2 linked regions of the Canis lupus familiaris genome follow. The protein of the gene in region 1 interacts with the protein of each later gene in a biochemical or structural test. Links are inferred from orthologs where the notes say so. Each region holds a gene or a part of one and is shown in the gene's direction. Other genes may lie near its edges.

Region 1 (4,489 bases):
TAGAGCTCGGCATAGGGCTCCCTGCTCAGCCGGGAGCCTGCTTCTCCCTCTCCTTCTGCTCCCCTCCTGCCAGTGGTCTCACTCTCTCTCTCAAATGAATTAAAAAAAAAAAAATCTTGGGGATCCCTGGGTGGCTCAGTGGTTTGGCGCCTGCCTTTGGCCCAGGGCGTGATCCTGGAGCCCTGGAGCCCTGGAGCCCCAGGATCGAGTCCCACGTCGGGCTCCCGGCATGGAGCCTGCTTGTCCCTCCCAATGCCTCTCTCTCTCTCTCTCTATGTCTATCATAAATAAATAAATCTTTTTTAAAAAATCTTTAAAAAAAAAAAAAGGTCACGGGCAAATTGCTTGAAAAATCAAACAGGGCAGCCCAGGTGGCTCAACGGTTTAGTGCCGACTTCGGCCCACGGCCTGATCTTGGAGACTCGGGATCGAGTCCCATGTCGGGCTCCCTGCATGGAGCCTGCTTCTCCCTCTGTCTGTGTCTCTGCCTCTCTCTCTCTCTCATAAATAAATTAAAAATCTTAAAAAAAAAAAAAACTGAAACAAAAGCCTGTGTTCTACCAGGACTCCACCTATCACAGATATTCAGCCTCAGAGTCAGTATTTTATGAAGTCCAGTGCTGATCTTGTTGCCACTGAAAGTGTTCAAGCGGGGTTGGAAGCTCTATAAAAGGTTATTTCCTACATTGGAGGAAGTTCGAACCGTTTAAGATTTTGGATGCCTTTTCAATTCTAATATTCCAAATCTCCGTGATGGATGAGCAAGATCTGAGTCTCCAAGATGAACACCTCATTTACCTTCCCTGGCGCAGAGAGCCGGAGCTCAGATCTAGAAGTCTCCCTCTGTGACCTTGCCATTTATACAATAAGTTTCAGGTTCAGATGCTCTCTTCGAAGGGAGACGGAGTTGAGACAACACGAGAGGATTACCGAGTCTCCGTGCGCCTCCACCAGGGGCCGCCAGATGGCGCCCCGGGACCAACTGCGAGATCAACTTCCTTCCTCTTCCCCCAACTCTTCCCGGCAGCGGGGGCCCCGCTCCGGGCTGGGGACCCGAGGCCTGGGGCCCCCCAGCTTCCCTCTGGGGTTCCCCGGCTTCAGAAGTGGGCAAGAGTTAGGCGCAGCATGAGCCGAGTAGCAGCAGGGACTGCCAGCTGTCTGGGGGCTGGCGGGGCGGGTAAAGAGACCGGAGCCGGGGCCCTTGGCCGGGAGATGGCGCCCGGTCAGCGAATCCAGCCTGCGACAGGTCCCCCTGCCAGAGCCCTAGCAGTAGCGGCCCGTCATCCTACCTCCCGACTCCTCCGCCTGAGCTAGTATCTCCCCTCTAGGGGCGTGCGTGAGTCGCTCCGGATTGGCTGCACGAGTCCGGAGTTAAACTTTCAGCCAATGAAAAAGGGCACGGGGCGTGACGCACGGAAACGTCACGGGAATTCCCCCCTCCCGGGGGTGGAAAAGGGGCTTTCCCGGCTGGAGCCTGGGTGGCTGTGGAGAAGTGTCGCGACCCGTCCGAGGTGGGTCGGGCCGGAGAGAAGCCGGAACCGGAGCCGCCGCCGCGGTGAGTGGCCGGGACACGGGGAAGGGCGGAAGGAGGGCCCTTAACTAACCGAGGCTCAGGGCTGGAGAGCGGTATCTGCAAGCACACACAGGACGCACACGAACAAGACGTACGGATACTCATCGACATCCTTGTACAAAAAAACAAAACAAAACACGCGGACCCATACGTGCACCTACGCGTATGCGAACGAGTGCACAGCACTGTCCATGCATTCAGACTCGCGCACACGCAAACATGCTCACCCGTGCACAGGTGCCTGGACCCATATCCTTCACGCACGAACTCCTATGTTCACCTGTGCCCTTACATATCAAAACACGCTCAGACGCGTCCACACTGAGAAGTTCACAGACGCTCACCTGCACACAGCCTTGCTCACTGGTACATGCATACTGACACCACGCAAGCACATGGGACGACGCACACTATGCCTGTGATACACACACACGGCCATGGGCCTGGGGCAGGGGGCGTGGGCACCCGGAGCAGGTGCGGTGTGGGAACCCAATGACTGCTGAGATGTTTCGGGGAGAGGCAACAGAAGGGCCCGTCCCAAGAAGGAGACCCTGTTCCTCCCCCCGCCCCACGGCCCCAGAGTCCGTTCTCGGGGCAGAACCCCGGGGGCCCCCGCTGGGAAGAGCCCCCGCCTACAGGCCTTCGGAAAGGAGGCCTTCCTACAGCAGGAATGTCCCCCCAAAAGCCCCCGGGTGAATCAGCCGTGGCCTCCCTCAGGGTAGAAAATCCCAAGGTTGCTCCAGGACAGGGGAGGGGGAGGGGGCGGGAGGCGGGCCTCGCCCCGACCTAAGAGCGTCCCCCACCTTTGAAAGGCCCTCCAGCCCCCCGCACCTGCCCTGGGACGAGGAAGGGGGCCCAATCACCAGGGGCGCCTCCCTGGGTCTGGCTGCCCCTCTGCCCTCAGAGCCGCTGCAAGCTCGGAGGCCGCCGCCGACCTCGCGCCCCTCCCGCCGCGGGGGCGGGGCCAGTGGCGTCATTTCCAGGCCCGCCCCCTCCGGCCCCGCCTCCCCCTGGTATTTTCGGGACTTTCCTAAGCTGTTCTAACTTTCCTGCCGCTTCCCCGGCCCTGCCCAGCCCAGCTCCGGATCTCGCGCTCTGCCGGATCTCGCCCGCCACACCCGGACGGGTGGCTGGAAGAGATCAGACCCTCCCCCAAATCTGGGGCCCACTCGCCCCCCCCTCGTGTCCTGATCTGTCTCTCCCTCCCACCCCCCGTCACTCCCCCCCGCCCCCACCTAAGGCGGGCGCCTGAAACACTCTGGGAAACAGAACCTGGCCGGAGCCACCAGACAGAGCCGGGCCTAGCCCAGAGACATGGAAAGTTGCTACGACCCAGTGAGTCACGCCTCCTGGCCCTAAAACCGGCCGGCTGCCCCCCATGTCTGTCTGTCTGTCTGCCTGTCTGTCGGAGTCCCCTCTGCCCCCCTACACCTGTAATGCCCTCTGATTATCTCAACCTGCTTGTCAGTCTGCCTGCCTGTCTGCAAACTTTTTCCAAGAGGAGCTTTTTATGGGTCTGGGGAGGAAAGGGAGTGGCTACCCAGGGCTGGGAAGTGGAAGGCTCTCCGGTGTCTCAGATTCAGTTGCCACCCTAATCTGTTTCCAAACCAGGGTCTGGATGGCATGATTGAATATGATGATTTCAAATTCGACCCGTGCATTGCAGAGCCCAAGGAGCCAGCCCCAGAGACAGGTTAGTGAGTTCCTTAGCTCCCCTTGTCCTAGAGAGGGGGGAGGGAGGAGCATGTGCCCTCTGACTGGGGGATGGCCCTGAAATCCTGGCTCAGCAAGGCCCCTTTGTCCCCAGCTGATGGACCCTACTTGGTGATAGTCGAACAGCCTAAGCAGGTGAGTGAATGGAAGGGATGGTGTGGGAGGACTTCGGCTGTAGGGACCAGTGGGGTAGTTGTAGTTGGGTGGCCATGGGGAGGGTCACTGATCACGGAGGCCACTTCGGGTTGAAACGGCTGACTGCTACTGATCACAATGGAGGTGTTGTGGTTCAGGAGAGACACTGCCAATTGTGGTCACTGATGGCTGGGAGTGTGACTGGCTTGGGGGGAAAAGAGGGGTCCCTCCTGTTCACATTGTCAATCTGCCCTGGGACGTTCAGCGAGGCTTCCGATTTCGATATGGCTGTGAAGGCCCCTCCCATGGAGGATTGCCAGGGGCTTCCAGTGAGAAGGGTCGGAAGACTTATCCCACAGTCAAGGTGAGTCAGGATGGTGCTGGATGGAGGGTGGGCTAACAGTGTGTTCAGGAGCATTACTGACAACCCTCACCCCTCCCAGATCTGTAACTACGAGGGACCAGCCAAGATTGAGGTGGACCTGGTAACGCACAGTGACCCACCTCGCGCTCATGCCCACAGCCTGGTGGGCAAGCAATGCTCGGAGCTGGGGGTCTGCGCCGTGTCTGTGGGGCCCAAGGACATGACTGCCCAGTAGGTGCCCCCTCATTGCCTCCCAGTCCTAGGCCCCAGCCTGCCTCTGTGAGTTTAGCATCTGACCAAGGAGAGAGACAGGTTGGCCTCAGAACCCCAGGCCCCAAGTGAAAACCAGGAAGGCTTCCTGGAGGAATGAGGGCTGAGCTGAGGCCTGGCAGTAGAGAGGGTGCCTCAGGAGGAAAGAACTGCCTACAAAGCTTCTGACTCCTCCGCCCCCTCCCCCACCCAGATTTAACAACCTGGGCGTCCTGCATGTGACCAAGAAGAACATGATGGAGATTATGATACAAAAACTTCAGAGGCAGCGACTCCGCTCCAGGCCCCAGGGCCTTACTGGTATGGGGGGGAGGAGGGGTCATGGGAGGTGTTCATGGAAGGAGTAGAGGAGGAGGAGGAGTGCAGGGGTCACATGTATGTCCACTACCCAGAGGCTGAGCGGCGGGAGCTGGAGCAAGAGGCCAAGGAGCTGA
Region 2 (4,570 bases), on another chromosome or scaffold:
TTCAGGGGCCCAGAGACACAGGCAGAGATCGGGAGACAAAAAGAGATGGGGGCGGGGCCGGAGGCGGGGATGGAGGGACAGCGTTGCAGATACGGGGGGCGCTAAAAGACCCGGGGGGCCTGTGTGCCCCCTGGACAGATCCGTAGTGCGGCCCCCATTCCTCCGCGCCCCCCCCTAAATCCCCAAAGCCTCCCCCTTGGCCTCCCGTAACTCAGTGACCCGGACTCAACCCCAGCGACGGCCCCGCCCCAAGGGAAATCCGGGAAAGCCCCGCGCCGAGGCGGCCCCTCCCCGGGGCGGAGAGAAGGGGCGGGGGCGGGGCCTCGGGGAAGGCCCGCCCCGCCCCGCCCCCCAGCTCCGGGCGGCCTCTGAGTCATGCCCCCAACCCGCCCGGCCTGTTCCCCACCCACCAAGCCCGCCCGGAGGGGAGGGGAACGTGGGGGGGAAGGGGCAGCCAGACCGCCCACCCCACCCCACCCCACCCCACCCCACCCCACCCCGCACCCCGGGCCCCGTAGCCCGGACTCTGCGCCGCGTCTCCACGTCCCTTGCTGTCTTCCTCGTCTCTCCCTCCCCGGGTCTCTCCCGATCGATCTCTTCGCCCAGAAGCTCGAGCTGGGTAGAGGGGCCCTTCAGGCCGAGACCCACTGTGCACCCCATCCCCTGAAGCGAAGTTCTGACGCACGGCTGGGCCACACGGAGGAGGCCGGGATGGCGACAGGGCAGGCAGAGGGATGGCAGGCACTACCGTCCGCGCTGCTGGGCGCCTGCCGAGGGCAGTCCCTGACCTGGGTGCGTCTTTTTCCTCCCGCAAAGGAGGAAACGGCTCGGCGGAGGGAAGTGCCTGGTCAAGGTCACCCCGGCGAGGAAGTGGGAGTCGGGACTCGAACCCGCGTCCTAGTGAGCCCGGGGCCTCCTGGAACCCCTCCCTGTGGGAGAAGCTGAGATCAGACCGTACCCAGGAGACAGGAGACAGGAGACAGAGAGAGATGGTGAGAGGCACAGAGGACAGAGAGACAGAGCGAGAGACCCAGAAAGACACGTCTCCAGCCCGCAGAGACCCAGATACAGAGCTACAGAGATAGAGACAAGTAGCCAGAAAGAGCAAAACACTGAGGCAGCGCCCGCGAGAGGCCCGCAGCCGCAAGGGTGGGGACCCCGGCCCCCGACCCCGCCCCCTGCCCCCCCACCAGCGCCGGGGCCCAGCCGCCGGGGGCGCCGCGGGTCGGGAGGGGGCGGGCGCGGGGCGCGGCGCGGGCGGGACGCTCGGAGGGCAGCACCGCGGGGCGGCGGGAGCGGCGGCGGGTCCAGGAAACCCCTGGGGCGGACGGGTGGCCCCGGGGGGGCCGGGGGCGGGGAGGCGGGCGACCGGCACCGCCCCGGCCGACAAAAGTCCCTTCAGTTCAGCCGGCGGCAGGGGAAGTCCCGGCGCCCGGCGCAGCCACCCTCCGGTGCCGCCGAGCCGAGCAGCGCTCCGGCCGCCCGCTCGGCCGCCGTCTCCGGCGGCCCCATGCCCCGATGCCCCGCGGGGGCCATGGACGAGGGGCCCGTGGACCTGCGCACCCGGCCCAAGGCCGCCGGGCCCCCGGGCGCCGCGCTGCCGCTCCGCAAGCGCCCTCTGCGCGAGCCCTCCCCGGAACCCGCCGCCCCCCGCGGCGCCGCGGGCCCAGTAGTCGGCCCGGATCCCCTGGGCGGCGGCCCCGACTCCCCGGCGGTCCCCGCGGCCCCCCACGGACTGGCCCGGCCAGAGGCGCTTTACTACCAGGGTGAGTGGCTCCCACGGGTCCGGGCCAGGTGGGGGTCAGACAGGGCGCAGGGTCACCAGAGCCAGGCAACAGAGATCAGGATGCAAATACAGGGGCTCCCCAGGGAGCTGAGAAACAGGGGCGACGGAATCCAAGGTCCCAAGGACCTCGGGCTCTGGGGAGCTGCGAGGGAGCAGGGCCTGAGGTCCCGGGGACACGGTCATGGGAACCTCAGGGAGCAGTGCCTTCCGACATAGATATGGGGGTCCCAGGACACCGGGTGTCAGGGGGTCCTGGGGGACAGAGCCCAGTCTGAAAGCCACGATAGGAAGACCCAGGGGACAGTGCCCAGCAGGACAGATAGGGACAGATTCTTGCGGAATCAAGGGGGCAGAGCCTATAGTCCCAAGAACACAGAGTTATAAGCTCTTTAGAACCCAGATATTGAGGATTATAAAGACTCAGTGCTTTGGCCCAAGAAACTGGGGTTCCTGGCATCCAGGTATGTGGTATCAAAGGAAGTCAGAGAAACAGTGACTCGGGTTCTAAGAAGTCAGATATGGGAGGTGTCAGCACATCAAAATCTCAGGAACCATGATCTCAGGGACTGGTGGGAATCAGGAGAACAGAGTTTAAGCACCCCAATATCTGGAATCACAAGGATCCAAGGAAACAGACGCAGATAGTAGGGGTCCTGAGGAGCCAGCAGGACAGAGAATCTGGGGTCCTGGGCACCAGTTATGTATGGTCACACAGGCTCAAGGTCTCATTGGAGGTCACAAAGTCAGGTGGCCACAAAGTCAAGGCTTGGGAATGGAGGGTTCTAGGAATGGGGGGCAGGACCGGGCGATTCTGGGAGTGAAGGATTTAGGGTCAGGATGAAGAATTAAGGGGTGTCCAGGCAAAAAGCTGCAGGACACCAAGGCCCGGTACTGGAGATACAAGGGTCTGCAAACTTGGGGGTGCATGAATGGGGGCCCCCAAAGATCAGGAGATGAGAGAGGAGGCCAAACAGCATTCTCCCTGTCTCCATCCCTGATCTCAAGGAAGGGGCATCCCTTACCACAGCTGTCCCCACATCACCCATCCCTGAGTGGCCCCAAAGCTGCAGAAAGCCCATGCCTAGTGCCTCCAGACTTTGGCCCAGTTCCTGCACCTTCCACACCATCAGAGTAGAGCAAGTTAGAAAACCTCAGGGTGTGCATCAGGAGGCTTGCCACTGCCTCCTCTTTCCCATTCCCTGCATGAGAAGCCAGGCCTCAGTTTTCCCCATCTGTGTGATGGGTGGATATGGCTTCAACTGCTGCCATGGTTGGCATCTGACATTGTTCGTCTCCTTCTGACCCACCCACCCTTCTCCCCAACTCTCTACACAGTCACCCAACACCCAGTGTTTCATCCATTCTTACTTCCCTCAGCCACAAATTTACTAGGCAAACAGGCCCTCAGGTCCCCCTGCTGGGTGATGATGGGGCTCAGGCCTGTCCTTAAGGAACTCTGCCTAGGAGGAGATGGGGAGTCAGACACATGAAGAGATAAGTGATAATGACAGTGACCAGGGCTCACGGAGGACAGTGAAGGGGGAAGCTGCTGGACCCCAGATGGATGTGAAAGGCCACTTTGTCTTGGGCCTTTCGGGCCTGGTATGAAATGCAAAAGGGACCTTAGCAAACAGGGCAGCAGGAGCGAAGGTCTGGAGGTAGGGGGCGGGTTGAGGGTCTGTGAGCTTGGCCTCACCCTTGTCCTTCCTTCTGTCCAGGACCTTTACTTCCCATATACCCCACCCCGAATATGGGCTCCCTCTTCCCTCTCCTGAACCTGCCTACACCCCTGTACTCCATGGTGTACTCCATGGAACATCCCTTGTCGGCTGACATCGCTGTGGCCACCCATGCAGATGAGGACGGAGACACGTGAGTAAAGCCCCCCCCCCCCCCATAAATGGAAGAGCCAGCCCTCCGCCCACCTCACCCACCACCACACAGGGGCACTCAGCTTCCTCTCTGAAAAATGGGCAACCTGAGCACTTACCTCCTAGGACTGTTTTTGAAGCAGGCAGCTACAAAATTTTTATCCAAATCCAAGCATGAGAGGGGCGCCCGGCTGGCTCCGTCGATAGAACATGCAACTCTTGATCCCAGGGTTGTGAGTTCAAGCCCCACATTGGGTATGGGGATGACTTTTTTTTTAAGATTTATTTATTTATTTATTTACTTATTTATTCATGAGAGACAGAGACAGAGAGAGACACAGAGAGACACAGAGAGACACAGAGACAAAGGCAGAGGGTGAAGCCGACTCCATGCAAGGAGCCAGACATGGGACTTGATCCCCGATCCTGGGATCACACCCTGAGCGGAAGGCAGACGATCAACCACTAAGCCACCCAGGCGTCCTGGGGATGATTTTTAAAAAATAAAATAATCAAAGGTACCCAAATATACCCCAAAATTCTTTTTAAAACTCCAAACAGGAGAAAGATATTTCATTGATTGATTTGTTATATATGAATTATACATGTTAAGCTCTTAGCACTAAGCCTGGTAGGTTATAAGAACTCAGTAAGTACTGATTAATTAATATCATTGCTATTATATACTTTATGTTAAACCCAGCACACGTACACACATAGGAGTAAAAATTGCGCAGAACAAGAGACCCCCTTAATAGATGGGATCTACTTTGTATTTTCTATTCTAGACTCTTCCACTGTTTCAGGGTCAGAGGTCAGTCGATTGATTTGAGGATCCCTTAAACCGATTTCACAAATTCCATAGTTCATCATCACCTGCAGTTGAAAACGTGCCCTTGAGGCCGCTGAGAAC

What was found.
Region 2: the proteins of NFKB2 (region 1) and BCL3 form a complex in vitro, tested with the Homo sapiens proteins (2 studies listed by BioGRID). The link is inferred for Canis lupus familiaris from reciprocal best matches to the Homo sapiens genes NFKB2 and BCL3.

What each region holds. Positions count from the first base shown.
Region 1 is NC_049249.1:15,092,067-15,096,555, forward strand, and holds the start of NFKB2 (nuclear factor NF-kappa-B p100 subunit), read left to right. Parts: upstream 1-1,400; 5' UTR 1,401-1,555; intron 1,556-2,813; 5' UTR 2,814-2,887; coding exon 2,888-2,908; intron 2,909-3,184; coding exon 3,185-3,266; intron 3,267-3,380; coding exon 3,381-3,421; intron 3,422-3,686; coding exon 3,687-3,785; intron 3,786-3,864; coding exon 3,865-4,016; intron 4,017-4,248; coding exon 4,249-4,355; intron 4,356-4,447; coding exon 4,448-4,489. UniProt on the Homo sapiens protein: NF-kappa-B is a pleiotropic transcription factor present in almost all cell types and is the endpoint of a series of signal transduction events that are initiated by a vast array of stimuli related to many biological processes such as inflammation, immunity, differentiation, cell growth, tumorigenesis and apoptosis.
Region 2 is NC_049222.1:111,335,320-111,339,889, reverse strand, and holds the start of BCL3 (B-cell lymphoma 3 protein), read left to right. Parts: upstream 1-1,495; 5' UTR 1,496-1,510; coding exon 1,511-1,766; intron 1,767-3,504; coding exon 3,505-3,658; intron 3,659-4,136; exon of another isoform or gene 4,137-4,570. UniProt on the Homo sapiens protein: Contributes to the regulation of transcriptional activation of NF-kappa-B target genes. In the cytoplasm, inhibits the nuclear translocation of the NF-kappa-B p50 subunit.